Drosophila melanogaster: one gene and its partners. The gene in region 1 interacts genetically with each later gene. Each region holds a gene or a part of one and is shown in the gene's direction. Other genes may lie near its edges.

Region 1 (4,889 bases):
ACCGACCGCCCGAGGAGGGAGAGGAACCGCGTCGTCCATCCGCTCGACAAACGGCGTCCCAAAGTCGTCGTAATGCTTTGGGCCAGACCACGGAGGGCGGCCAACACGATGCACAGAACGATGCTCCGCCAAAGTACACACCACCTCCGTCCTACACAACGGCCACTGGAGCCCGCCTTGCCAAGCTTCTGCGCCAGAGCATTCGCCGCAGCGTAAGAAGGTACATAAAAACCATCCCTTAATATAAACAAAAAGTTATTTACGACCAATTTATCGACACAGGGTTCTCGGAGACTCAAGTCGAACGCGACCCGTGCTCTCCCTCGATGCGGAGTCTGCTTCGCCAGCGGCGCCGCCTGATTACCTAACCATACTGACCAATCCGGCTGGCAGTAGTTTCAACGCGGATCCTTCGCCAGCTTCCAGCAGCAGTCCCGAGTCCATAGAGATCGACCAGCGACCCGTTGGCTACTCCCAACGCTCGCAATCGTTGGGCAGGAAACTGCATCGTTCGGGTGCTTCGACACTGGAGAGGCGGCCCTATACGGCGGAGGATGTGGTGACCATACTGCGCTCCTCGGTGCGACATCGCCAGTCGCAGGGAGGCGGAAATTTGGTCACTGCCAGCACCCTGCCTCGCCCCCCAACCGCCGCCATGTCCACGCACTTGGAGGACGCCTCATTCCGATCCATAGAGAATCTTGTGCTGAATGCCGAGCCACCGGACAGAACGCCCGGTGTGGAGCTGGAGCTCGAATTGGAGGCTGGACAGGCGGAGGAGTGCGCGCGAAATAATACATCTGTGATTTAACTGACTAATATCGTACCGTACATAGCGTAACTCTTATGCGATCCACATATCCGCTTGCTTTCTTAGACTTGATTAGCGCTAGTTATCTAAATACGAATATTACCTTGTAGTTATGCGAATAATAACGAAAACAACTAGTTGGTACTCCCAAGTGTGAGCTCTTTTGATCCCTACAACCGGTATTCCCAGTTCGATCCAACCCACCCCATTTAATTCCATTTCACATATATTTTAGGCTTACGGATCGCGCCTGTCTGCACAGTTGCCCTTAAAATTATCCCAACAATGGAGTAGGCCTCCTACGTGCCCAGCTCTCGAGGGTCAGCTATTTAAGGGAATACGTACTTGGGCCCTAAGCCGATTAACAAACGTGACCAGTTGAATAAAAAAAGTGAAAATAAACGGAAGTCCAGGATGGCGTAGCCAACAAAGGCGCCTAATGAGGCGGGCCAGGAAGTTGCTGCATATTTCGATTAAAATGTCACGCCATTTCTTTTGTTTTCTTTGTGACTTGCATATTCCAAAGGGATTGGCCTGCAAAAAAGTTAATCCGCGGAATTTTTAAATCAGCACGAATTGGCGGTTATTATTTTAATATCTGGCAGCGCTGGTTCAAAGAACCAGTTCAAATGGGTTGAGTCTCGGCTAGAACTTTTGTGAAGTTCACACAATAATTGATACCGTTATTTTTACTTATAATTAGTAATTTTAATGCTAGAAATACATAAATAACAATTGAGACCTATATAAAAGCAAGTGATAAGGGTTCTTATACAAGCCAATGTGTGTAGTACAACTACTCTATAATTTGGGATGATAGTTATAAAGTTTTAAATAAATATATATTTTCATGAAAATATTATCAACACTTTAATAATGAACGAGTTTTTGGACCCTTATTAACCATAATATTTGAAATTTAAGTTGGAACAAGAAACTTTTAAACTGTTGGCGAACGCGGTATTTTTTAGGCCCTTCTTGCCGGGTGAGGTTACTCCTGCATCTGGTAACACTGCTCGGCAGCGAAACAGAAACATAAAAAATTCGAACGGCGACGAGAGCGGTCAGACGCACGCATCACTTTCAATCGCGTCGCGTAGAGCGTCCAAAAAGAATTATAGTATAAACCAAGAGTGAAGATTCCGGTGAGCAAAGAATTTGCAATTGCCAAACTTAAGCAAAAACCATAAAGTGTGCATTGGCAATTGAAGTCGCGCGTTCTTAGCCAATCCACATTTGCACGGCCATTTTAAAGCCAAGTTAAGGCCAAAGTTTTCTGCCGCGCCGTCTTCGTAAGTCGCAGGTCGAAAAGTGCTCAAACGAGATTTCCACTTGAAATTCCTGAATTTCGTTTGTCTGCGCGAATCGCATCGAATCGAATTGAAGCACAAATCGCAGCAGCAGAAAAGCGCAAAAGTCGAATTTAAATTCCGTCTGCAAAGTGCCGAAAATTAGTGTCTTTGTTGTGTTAGTGTTTTGTTTCTTTGTCTGTGTGGGTGTTACGATTACGATTGGATTAGCGGTGTTTTCGCCTGATTAAAACGGTAAGTGTCCTTGCGATAATCCTGCGTGCAAAGTTAGTTAGCTGGTGCCAAGTTCGCTCGCCACTCACACACCTCCACCGCCGCCACTCACAACTTATTTTGCTGCAATTTGCTCTAGTGTTTTGTATTAGCATTTTTATGTCCCGCCTCGCCAAAGTTGACAAACAAAAACGTACACACACACACATACACGCACCGACACGTAAGCACACGCACACAAAGGATTTCATTACATTTTGGGTGGGACGTAACGGTAACGTTGAAGTGTAACGTATAACCCTCCCCTCGTTCTATCTCTTTCCCGCCCAAAGCCCCGAATGCTGTGCTACCGAATTTGTTTTCGCCTTCGCTCAGTTCTGTTTTCTCCTGTTTTTATTTATTTTGATGGCGTATTTTGCCATTCCGCTTTGTTCGTATTGCGTATCCTGTCGCCTGCGCTATCCTTCTACAGTCGCATCTGGCTAGAAGGAACTATCGTGTGCCTCAGTCACATGAAAAATATTACACTTACGTAGGTGATTTGATTTTTAAATGTATAAAGTCCCCTTCAAATTGCTAATTGAAAAATATATAAGTTCATGTACATAATCTTATTATGTCATCAATTAGAACCACAACATCTTTGGTTTCCCATTAGTATTTATAGTAACATTTTCTGAGCCCAGGGTATTCTGGTTTCACTGTACATTTTTCGCTGTCAGCTTTTCTTCCTAGTTTCTGCCAGCATTGAAATGAGTTCGCAATAAATATTGCCCAATGTCAAATAAAAGGGCGATGAGCCAGCCTTTTTCCGCCATGGCCCCTTTCCACCTCGGCCTATCTCCTCCATTCGCTCTAATCTCGGGGGACACTAATGCTTTACGACAATTCCTATGCCGTATGCCGCCCAGTACAAACTTAATGCACACATCAATGGCAAATTAGATATACTCCACAGCAAATGTACTAATAACAATCATCGAGTGCGTGTGCGGGCGGGCTTCCGATTCATCCCATACCATACCATACCATACGATACGATACCATCCCGAACCATTCCATCCCACACATACGTCCTCTCAAGACGATTGTTTTGTTGATTTGGCTGTTACTTCCAATACATTGGCATTTAAGGGGCAGAATTGGGATCCACTTATGTGCCTGCCTTATGTCTCATTTGTCGTCGGGCAAATGGAAATCGTTTTGTTTTTGCCTTGTCAAGTGACAAATTTTCATTGTCTCCCGCCACTAATCGCTTACTTAAAACAAAAAAAAAAACCAAAAAAATGAAGAAGATACCACGCCAAAGACTCCAAACAAGAAATAAGACAAGTGTAAATAAACACTTGAGGAGGAGGGAGCGTGGGATCGGGAGTCACGACTAACCGATATCCTCTGTACAGTGTGGGCGGGGGCATATACGCAATGACATTATCATAAAAGGTGCACATGCCAGAAGTTAAGTCGCGACAACTTTCCGTTATAACTTTCAATAACCTTTGTTGTTTGCTCCAATAAAAGCATTTTAATCGATACTCTTGACTTGTGTCAATCCATTCGGATTTGTTTTTGGTTACTAATGGATGTAATGTATGAAGTTATTGGGGCGGCATAAATTAAGAACTTATTTCCTTTGTGGATTTCACGTTACTAAACAGATGGTGATGTGACGCAAATGAAGTCCTAACAAAAGGATATTTATATATATGGTATTCTTTCGCCTAGCTATTTACCTGTATTTTCATATTTATAAAAATACTAAAAGGCCATTCATATTTTATATGGCGTGTGGTCTAATTACTTATTTTTATGACCTAGAGAAGCAAAGATTATAAATTAGCCGTTAAACATTCCTTTCCTCCATCGTACATACCTTTCGATACCCTGTAAATTCCAGTGTATGTACTTAGAGTACGCACACGTACTTGCCTCTTTTGGTGGCATTGCCCGCGGCACCTTCACTTGGCGCAGCTTGCCTTAATTTCCAGCGGACAAACCACTTTGTTATCGCCACGCCGAGGGCCCTTTAATCTCTGGTAGTCCCTGGTTGGCTGGTCAGACCCACCTCCATCTCCGTCGCCTGCCCATTGATTTACGTCTCTATTTTCCAAATGTAGCGCAATCGATTTAGATTGATTTTGTTTAAACAAACTGCACAGCGCAGCAGAAGCAGCAGCATAAAAGGCACCAGAAAGTGTAATAAATAATTGGAAACGGAATCGTTGGGCTGATTTTAATGCCAGCGTTAATTGCGAGAGCCACCCAATTTCATTTCCATTTCCATGCCCAATCGAAATCCAAATGCCATTCCCCAACCCTCCCCATACCTTCAACATTTTCATGCCGATGTAGCGATGCCCTAGGCCAATTCCAAATCCAAATCCAATTCCTATTCCTATTCCTATTCCATCGATGCTTTGGTAATTAGTTGTGAATTGGATTGGGGATCACATAAAAGTGTTGATTACACACTCCGATGGCTGCGCCCCCAGCCACGCCCCCTTCCCGGCTGGGTGCCAAGTGTTTTGTTTGTGTTTATCTCGTCTTCGACGTGT
Region 2 (4,867 bases), on another chromosome or scaffold:
TAAACGCCACGTGCGCTGCACTTTTTAAACTTACTTTTCCTTTGGATTTTATCGTTCTTCTTTTCTTTTTGTTGTTTCGTTAAATCCACTCGTTCTGTTACTGTTTATTCGCTATTATGGGCGAATATATGTATATATCCGAATGACTTTTGATTTTGGCTTTGTTTATGGCCGCGCTGCCGCTGGATGTTGATTTTGTCTTAGCCAAGTTTAGCTTGTCGGTTTTGTTTGTTGTTGTTGCTGAATTGCGTTGTTGCTATTGTTGCTGAATTTTGAATTGAACATATACAACATACAGATTGTACACGATTGTTAAAAAGTTGCAACTGTAAAAATAAAAACAAAAAATATTGGTCACATCGGGCACTATTTTTTTTCTCGAGATTTTTGGATTTGCGCGCGCCAGAGAATGAGTGTGGCGTAAAGAGAGGGAGAAAGAGTAAAATCCCCAGCGACAAATGTAACGTAACCCACAACGTAAGCGTCTTCTGTACGTCACCACGCTACGTAGGCCACGTAACGGTATGCTAACGTTACCGACGGCGCCGCAAAACCGCAAAATCAAAAAATACAATAACAAAATCGACAAAATTATAGATTTTCAATGTGCACGTCGGTTTCTTTTTGCTAGCGAAAATCAACTAGCGCTAGTATATTTTGCTTTTGTTTTTTCTCATTTCGAGTGAAACTTTTCGCGCGCTTCTGCGTGTGTATTCCTCTTTTTTCGTTTTTTCTTCTTTTATTTGTTAATATTATTCACTTGGTGACTACACACGTTCATGCTCATGCCCCCTCACTCGACACACACACGCACACACACTGACGAACGTTTCTGCTTCTTGCTCCTCTTTCGTTCGCTTTTGTTCCACCACCGAAAAAAATGAAAAAAAAAATTTGTCATGTCCATTGAAGTCTCACATTTTTCAAATGCATTTTTTGGCGCTAAAATCTTATAAATTTCAACATTTTTCCATTCGCATCTGATCCCCCGCAATTAGCACTCCACTTCGAACACAAATTTATATAATTTTTGCCATTTTTTACCACAATTTTTAGTAATTTCTACACACCGATATATACGTACGCGCTACGATTTTTCGACAAACGCGCGAGTTTCTTCTGAGTCGCCATCAAATATACAAAATTTTTTTTCGAAATTACTGAAAATGCGAATACACACGCACACATGGACAGCCGACGGGCACGAGGCGCACGCGCTTGGTACATGCGGCTATGCCGCTCTAACGCACTGCTTTTATTGATAAATCGAGAGCGGGACAGCTAGAGCTACCGGCCGAGAGAGAGCATGTGAGAAGAGCGTTCTGTGCGAGTGTGTGTGATAGAGAGAGCCAGAGAGCAAAGTAGTCACACATACTCTCGCAAACTCATAGTGGCTTTCGTTCTCTCCTTTTCTCAACCATTTGCACGTACTTTTAGCTTTTTCATATGGCTATTTGGGAAATTCACCAGCAGTTTACACTTATGCTGTTGTTAGTTTTAATCCATTTATACTGGTAGAACGTAGATTCGTCGGCTACTTTACATTAATTTCGTAACGTAAGCGCAACAAAAACAAGGCTGTCATCGATATAAGCAGGCGTTTTTGTCTGAAACTATCGTGCAATAAGTGACTCCGATAACCAGAGTTCCTTTACGTGTTTCTCGATTACTTATCGGATTGTGTTTGCGAGCACAAATGTCTCTTTTAGCGGAGACACAGTCCTCCAAAACTGTGCAACACTGTTCCTAGGCTCGGTGTGACCAGAGCTATTTAACAACACTGGCGAACATCGGATGGCAAATATCGAAAGAACATTGACTGTTGTTCCACCCCCTGCTGACACCATCTGGTAACACTGAACAACAGACCAGATCCGCGGACAAAGCAAAGCAGTAAATATTAATTTAATCCAAATCCAATTCCCGACACCAATTGGCGGCCTTCAGCTGCTGCTTCTGCAGTCGAATTGTATTTTTTTTTTTGGTTTTTCGTGTCACCCGATAAGAGTTAAATTCGCTGATCTAGCGAATAACGGTGGCAAGTAATTGTAATAACTGCGTGTGTGCACAGTGCTAGTGTTTAGTGTGCGAGTGTGTGCGTGTGAGTGGGAACTCCACAAGTGTGCGAGAAGGCAAATCAAAATAAGAAAAGTGCCGCCCTGATGGAAATTAATATCGCGAATTATCAGCGAAAACGCAGCGAAAGTTAAGCCAAAGTGCTGCGATTAATCAGATAGCGGGTGAAATAGTGGGTATTACGTAAGAAATCAATGGATTCCGGGCTGCATTTGCCCAAAAAAAGAGGAAGCAATATCGAAGCGCTACTTTTATCTCCTCTTTTTTCGATGATTTCATTCGCAGTGACGACACACAGGCACGCACACACCGAACGCCGTATCTGTGTGTGGGTTGTTTGTTGAGCTAAAAAAAATAATGAATCCTCACGATACATTCACTCGTTTCATTTTTTTTGTTATTATTATTCATCATATTTATTTATTTCTTTGAGTGTGCATATCGGCGACTTCGCGACGCCAATTGCTGATTACGCCCCCTCCCTTTTCAGTGCAACTTCCCCACCCCGGAGATCTTGCACTCGAACTAAAAATCGAGTAGAGTACGTAGGCAGAAGCGAAAAGAGCGTACAAAAATCAAGAGCTCAGTGGCAGCAGCAGGAATTTGTGTTTGTCAGGGGATTGCCCAGATTTTCGGGGTAATTGTCCACTTTATAAACAGCCAACCGAATTTGAAACCAACTGTAACTGGAAGTAAAAACCAATTTTACCAAAGCTATCAAAAAAAAAACAATAAAAAAAATGAAATCCTCTGCGCGCCGCTGGTTTAACCAGTACGCCCACATGTGGGCGGCCCAGATGTGCCTCGTTTTTGGCCCAATGGCTGTGGGCGTCCATCCGTGGTTGAAACTATGCGCTGCAGATGCTGTTTACTCAGGCGGTTTATAGTATTACGAATTTGCTAGCTAAAAAACTGATTAAAACTACTACTAAGTGCACAACTCATAACTTTGATATGCTGTGACTGGGTGTATAAATGATAATCGAATGAAATTATTCAATCCAAGGGTATATAAACATGGGCTTAGTCGTTTTTAGTTTGTTTTCCTTTCGGCACACGATCTGCTGCAAATCAAGCTCTGTGGTGTGTTAGTGTTCGTTGTGTTGTGTGTGCGTGGGCGTTTAAAAATAGCCGACCAACACAACACCCATACGTATACGTAATCTGCAGCCCTTTTTTTTCCGTTCCGTGCATATGGAATTTTGATTTGAGTCTTGAGTGGCTTGGAGTGAGTGATTCATGTGGCTTTAGGCGGAAAGGAAACCCAGCGAAGCTGACTCAATGACCACTCATTGTTCGTTCGGCCTTTGTTTACATTTTGCCAGGAGCCAAGAGAGCGAGAGAGCGTGCTAACGGAACGTGCTCGAATGAGTAATTCGCATTGCATTTGACGTTTATCGAAAGCTCTCTTCCTTCCGCTTTTTTCCTTTTCTTTTCGGAGGCCAACAAAAAAAAACAACAAAAGCACGCAGGCACGCACACCCACACACAAGTTCGTACATCAATCGCTTGGTGTGTGTGTGTGTTTGTGAGATGAGTCATCTGGCCAAGTTGATGAGAAAATAAAATTAAACATTAAGGTAGAGCGAAAGAAACAACAAAAAAAGGGGACAGATGTGCGGCCATTTGCTGTTGTTTGTTGTTGCAATAAAGAAAAAAGCAGGGCACGCGGAGAAAGCAGTGCTCGACAAGCAGTGCAGTCAGCAGCTGGACTTTTACGTACACCGGCGTTCGTAAAAATTGCAGCGAAATCGAAGAAATCAAATTGTGTCTTAAAAATAAATGAAAGATTAAGGCATATAAAAAAAAATAATATAAAATATGTAGCATTAGAAATATAAGTGAACCAGGAATGGCTTTTATAATAATTTCTGCCCCTTACTTAACATCTAGTGCTAAATCCAACAATTTTAATTCACTTACCATTGCAGCCGGCGCACAGAAGCGACAGAGACAGAGCACACACAGCACCTGGCACATCCAAGGATATCCGATCCTCCTGCATCCCGAATCATCCACAACCTGCACCAACCGCTAACCGCCAAAGCCATGATCCTCGAGAGAAACCGGAGGTGCCAGCTGGCCCTCCTCATGATCGCAATACTGGCCGCCATCGCTGGACAAACGGATGCCCAGAAGGCGGCCAAACTGACGGCAGTGAGCACATGTGCATCGAAGGAAAAGTGTCACACCTGCATCCAGACAGAGGGTTGCGCCTGGTGCATGCAGCCGGACTTTAAGGGCCAGTCGCGGTGCTACCAAAACACCAGCTCACTGTGTCCGGAGGAGTTCGCCTACAGTCCGATAACAGTTGAGCAGATTCTAGTGAACAACAAACTAACGAATCAATACAAAGCTGAACTGGCGGCTGGTGGCGGCGGCTCCGCCATGTCCGGCAGCAGCTCAAGCTCCTACTCGTCGAGTTCGAGCTCGTCGAGCTTCTACTCGCAGAGCTCCTCGGGATCCAGTTCCGCCAGCGGATACGAAGAGTACTCTGCCGGCGAAATTGTCCAAATCCAACCGCAGTCCATGCGACTCGCATTGCGCGTCAGTGAGTAGCAAACGATTGCATCATCCATGTGACCTACAAACTAATCCCTTACTTGCTTATCAATACACCTTAGATGAGAAACACAACATCAAGATTAGCTATTCCCAGGCGGAGGGATATCCGGTGGATCTCTACTACTTGATGGATCTCTCCAAATCTATGGAGGACGACAAGGCCAAATTGTCTACGCTGGGCGACAAGTTGTCCGAGACCATGAAACGCATCACCAACAATTTCCAT
Region 3 (4,607 bases), on another chromosome or scaffold:
GCCTTCAGTTTGGATATCGCACAGTTTGCGATACTTGAACGACAGGCATTTTTGGTTGAAATTGAATTTGATTTACTGGAGAACTGTTTTCCTAAAATCACTTGTAGTTGGGGTCTGAGAACTTTGTACTTCTAAGTCTATACGCATATATATTTATAAAAACCTATATTAACGGAATATTAAACACGTGAAAACGGAATACCAACCAATAACAAAACACTAAGTTAGTCTATTGTTCCAAGATCCAGAGCGCAAATTGTTATTGTAAAGTAATAAACTGTTTTCAAATCTGTAAGAACAAACAATATTTATAACAGTCGAAAAGACGTCTGATAAAATGTTGCTGACTGACTGGATTAAGTCGAAGCATTGTCATAGTCACCAATAAAATATTTTTGAAATTTTAACATATATTCCAGTCAGTCAGTATAGTTTTAACCAGTGTGTCAGTCATGCTGCAATACAAAAAGTTCGATTCTGTTAGGGGAAGGCATTTATTTAGTTAACCTGTGTTAAATGCATTTGAATATTCCTTCAAATTTCTTGCTGCTTTTTGGTAACTTAACAAAGCCACAGAAAGTCCTTGAACGTAACAAAAAAAAAAAAAAAAAAGAACGTAAAATAATAATAACCAGAGAAAAATTAAATTATATTTATACTTGTAAGCGAACAGAACAGAAGAGATCGCATGTGAAAGAGCAAAACCGAGAAAATGAAAAGCAAAAGTCCTACTTGAAAAGTTAATTTAGTGTAAGCGAGGAAAATGTAACTGAAAATGAAATCGGAGCAGAAGCTGAAGGAGGATCGTGTGAATGGAGAGAAGGATCGATTGATACTGAACTCTAGCAGGAGAGAGAAATTGAAACGAACAAACTTGAAATTTCTGTCGGGTATACATACTAAATAATAACTAAGCAAGAACACTAAAGATTGAGAATGCTAAACAAAACCAACGGATAAATAAAACGTAACAAACGGAAAAGGATGGAAAGTATTGCAGTTGTATTTATTAGTCGGGCTAAATGGGAATTTATGAATACATCTAAAGGCATATTATAAAAACCGTAGCTTGATTATTCGATGTTTTTAAATGTCAATTACATTTTGATTTGAGTCAGTTTTCTCTTAAAATCAATAAACTAAACTAGGGTTGACGCAATAGTCGAAAAAATTCGAAGTGTATCCATGAAAAATTAAAGATAATGTTATAAGTTGCATTGCATTGAAAATCTAAAGAGAATAAACTTTTCCTAGAAAGCTATATCAAGATTCTTTTAATTCAAATTATGTGTTTTAAACGTTTGAATTTAATTTTTTTTTGAACAACCAAAAATTAGTGTTCACAATCATGGAGTTTTTAAGCACTGGCTTACTAAGCTAAGTTAACCACCCAACCAGTCCGTGTCGCGCACCCATCATATTGCATTAGCCGAGTTTCTTACCAAACTAGCGCTGCCAACGCGTTCGTAAGTACTAAGCATTTATTATCAATATCGATACGTCTATCGGTATGCTGCCAAGTAGGGTATGTTTAAACGACCGACAAGCGGTCACACGAGTGCAAGTTGGATTCCAATTCGATCCGTCGCGGTGCGTGGAAAAAATGCACAGATGTAGATAAATCAGCAAGCAACGCTAGCAGATCAGATAGAGCTATATCGTCGCGAAAACCGATTAATTTGCCATGTTCAGCGGATCAGCCTGCGGATCAATTAAACCGTAAAAAACAGAGCAGGCGAGCGTAAGCAAGAGAGAGAGGTGAAGCCAGAGGCGGAGGCGCAAGACAAAGTGCATTTTCAGGGCGTGTTTTTGAGACCCCCCTCGCCAGTTAAGCTCACCCAGCCTCCCAGCCGTCGACAAGAAGTTTGCCGACACAACATTTTACCAACATGCTGCAAATTCGCAATTGCACCTGAGCGGCCACTAGAACAACAAATCAGATAAATCGCAAACTTCCTTTTTCCTCCGTGCGTGTGTACTTCTGTGTGTGCGTGAGTGTCTCCAATCTTTTTTGTCTACTCCAAAAACGCAGAAAGAGAAAGAAAAATGTGTGCGTGTGTGTGTGTGAAATAAATTAAAGCAAAGCAAAAGGCAAAACGGCAAATAATTGAGCAAAAGGCCAAGAGAGAAGAGTTAAAGCTGAAGTATATAACAAGAAAAGCAAAGCAAATAATAAGTAGTAGTAGTAAGCGAATAAGCCGTAGCAGCAGGAGCCGAGAGAAGAGAGAGAAAAGTGTACAAGTTGTTGTTGCTGCGCAAGAGCGAAAAACCACCCAACCACCCACTGGCAAATGGGGGCTCAGCAGGGCAAGGACAGGGGCGCCCACTCGGGAGGAGGCGGCTCGGGGGCCCCCGTCAGCTGCATCGGCCTCTCCAGCAGCCCAGTGGCCTCCGTTTCCCCCCACTGCATCTCCAGTTCCAGCGGCGTCAGCAGCGCCCCCCTCGGCGGGGGCTCCACGCTCCGTGGCTCCCGCATCAAGTCCTCGTCCTCCGGCGTGGCCAGTGGCAGCGGATCGGGCGGAGGCGGTGGCGGATCCGGATCGGGGCTGAGCCAGCGTAGTGGCGGACACAAGGATGCACGCTGCAATCCCACCGTGGGTCTCAACATATTCACCGAGCATAACGGTAAGTTCCTGCAAGTGTTGGAAAACAGGCATCGAAAGCATGCTAAGTACACAGAGCAAAAAGCATATTTTCAAAATTTGAAAGCCTTGTTAAGTCAAATTAAACGAAAAACGTCTGTACATAGTGCACGCTCAATCAAAATCGTTTTTATAAAATTAGGTGTGCACTAAAATTTTGTTTTCTATTCGAAGTTATTTAGTGGTTTGATCATTTTGTGTTTCGATTTCTGTAAGCTTGACTTATTTCTCATTGGTGTTTCTTCTTTTACATTGGATCTTAGAATTATTTTCTTGCACATTGTAGTTTGAGTTAAAAAGGCATCAATCGTAGAAATCATCTGGACCAAATCGATCTGTATAAGTGTTGTGTAACATACATATAAAAGTCAGAGGATGCACAAACATGCATACATTTGGAGGTCCCATTCACTTACACACTAATTGTAAAAAATTGCATGCAGCCTCCAAACTCAGGTGTAAATTCCATCATAGTATTGTGACTTTTCTTATTATACATGGAAATTGTTGTTGCTGTATTGCCAATTGCTCAGAGTTGTGTTATCTCACATCCACCACAATCATTTCAATTCGTGATGAAATCTTTTGATATTCCATACAACAGTTTTTAAGGACATTCAAGAAATCAGTAACTAAAAACTTATTCAATGGGGGTACTTTCAATAAAAAAATGCTTTTTTAAGCGTGCTCTTGCCATTAAATCTCTTTTGTAAATATCATGTAAGTTTTGATTTATCTGCCAGTTTGGGCTGCACAGTGTTGTATTTATTGTTCATAAAGTGCAGTCCACTCGGCTTTCCCTTTCCCCCTCTCTCCTTCTTTATGATCCCCGCCCTTCCTCTATATACGCTGCTTTCCAATTGAGCCAATTTCTTTTTTCCTCCATTTCTTCCGATTATATAGGAAATTATTGTTGTTATTGCCGGCTAGTTTCATACTTGTTGTTGCTTTTCCGCTGCTTTTGTTTACTGGAGAGAAGGAGAATGAATGAGAAAGAAAAGTGAAGGAGAGAAGAGAAAAGAGAGAGAGCAGCACGCGTTGCTGTTGTTTTTGTGCTGCTTGGGGCGGTTTCAATCCGCATTCGTGCTCTCCATCATCCTTTATCCTTCGGCCTTCCTCGTGGCACCCTTATCCCTGCCACCCGCACAGTGGTTGAAATTGCGACCCACAACACCGTTATCCCACCCCCGCTGACATATTGCCATTTCCTCCACTTTTCCGCATTTCCCCTTGCATTTTTCCTGCCCTTCACGCACTCACGCACATTTTTATTTGCCTCATTTTTTTGTCTAATACTTTTCCATTATTTGCCCTGCCAAGCTGCATAATTTTTTCTTTACATCCTCCCCGTTTCCGCATTTTCCGCACACCCACTTATTGGGAGACATTTGCCGTTTCTAATAGCTTTTTTATGTCCATGTCGACGAAGTCCTACCACAATAGGACCCACAATCGGGTGGCATTCGGGATTTTCTCAAGACTACCGGAAAAACATTTGTCAGGTTATAATAGTTACGCAGACTCAGTGGTAGAACTTTTTTTTTAACAAAAAGCATAACTATGTATGAGAATACATGACGAGGGTCGTATTAATAGTAAGGTAGTTTTTTAACTTGAAATCGTGTTGCCTTATTCCCCTGACAATTGCAAGCCATTTTCGCAACAGCTGTTTCAAACTGAAAGTGGACTTTTCCGAGTTTTGATATTTACACGCGCGACAATCTGTTCCTAAATGTATTAAATCCATAAATTTGCTTAAGTTCGAAAATTGAAATTTAATCCTTTATTATTTTACTTTTTAACTTTTGATGTAAATACTTCCTTTTGCAAACTATTCATCTCCCAAACGAATGGCTTGGCCAAAGTATTGATTTTTCCTTGGCACTCCAAGCTGAGCCACTTTTCCCAGATGATTTACAATAAGCTGTAGATTTTTCTTCTTGCTCTTCTCAACTGGAAGCCATT

Evidence for each region. A genetic interaction does not mean that the proteins touch.
Region 2: of sli (region 1) and mys, changing one enhances a phenotype caused by changing the other (phenotypic enhancement), as found in Drosophila melanogaster (2 studies listed by BioGRID).
Region 3: of sli (region 1) and Abl, changing one enhances a phenotype caused by changing the other (phenotypic enhancement), as found in Drosophila melanogaster (4 studies listed by BioGRID).

Annotation. Positions count from the first base shown.
Region 1 is NT_033778.4:15,919,105-15,923,993, reverse strand, and holds the start of sli (slit), read left to right. Parts: upstream 1-1,875; 5' UTR 1,876-2,355; intron 2,356-4,889. Other genes in the region: bdg (bedraggled), read left to right, coding at 1-220, 283-811.
Region 2 is NC_004354.4:8,059,833-8,064,699, forward strand, and holds the start of mys (myospheroid), read left to right. Parts: upstream 1-1,812; 5' UTR 1,813-1,893; exon of another isoform or gene 1,894-2,248; intron 2,249-4,007; 5' UTR 4,008-4,125; coding exon 4,126-4,627; intron 4,628-4,700; coding exon 4,701-4,867. UniProt on the Drosophila melanogaster protein: Integrin alpha-PS1/beta-PS is a receptor for laminin. Integrin alpha-PS2/beta-PS is a receptor for Tig, wb and Ten-m. Contributes to endodermal integrity and adhesion between the midgut epithelium and the surrounding visceral muscle.
Region 3 is NT_037436.4:16,644,828-16,649,434, reverse strand, and holds the start of Abl (Abl tyrosine kinase), read left to right. Parts: upstream 1-1,552; 5' UTR 1,553-2,291; coding exon 2,292-2,625; intron 2,626-4,607. UniProt on the Drosophila melanogaster protein: Arm and Abl proteins function cooperatively at adherens junctions in both the CNS and epidermis; critical for embryonic epithelial morphogenesis regulating cell shape changes and cell migration.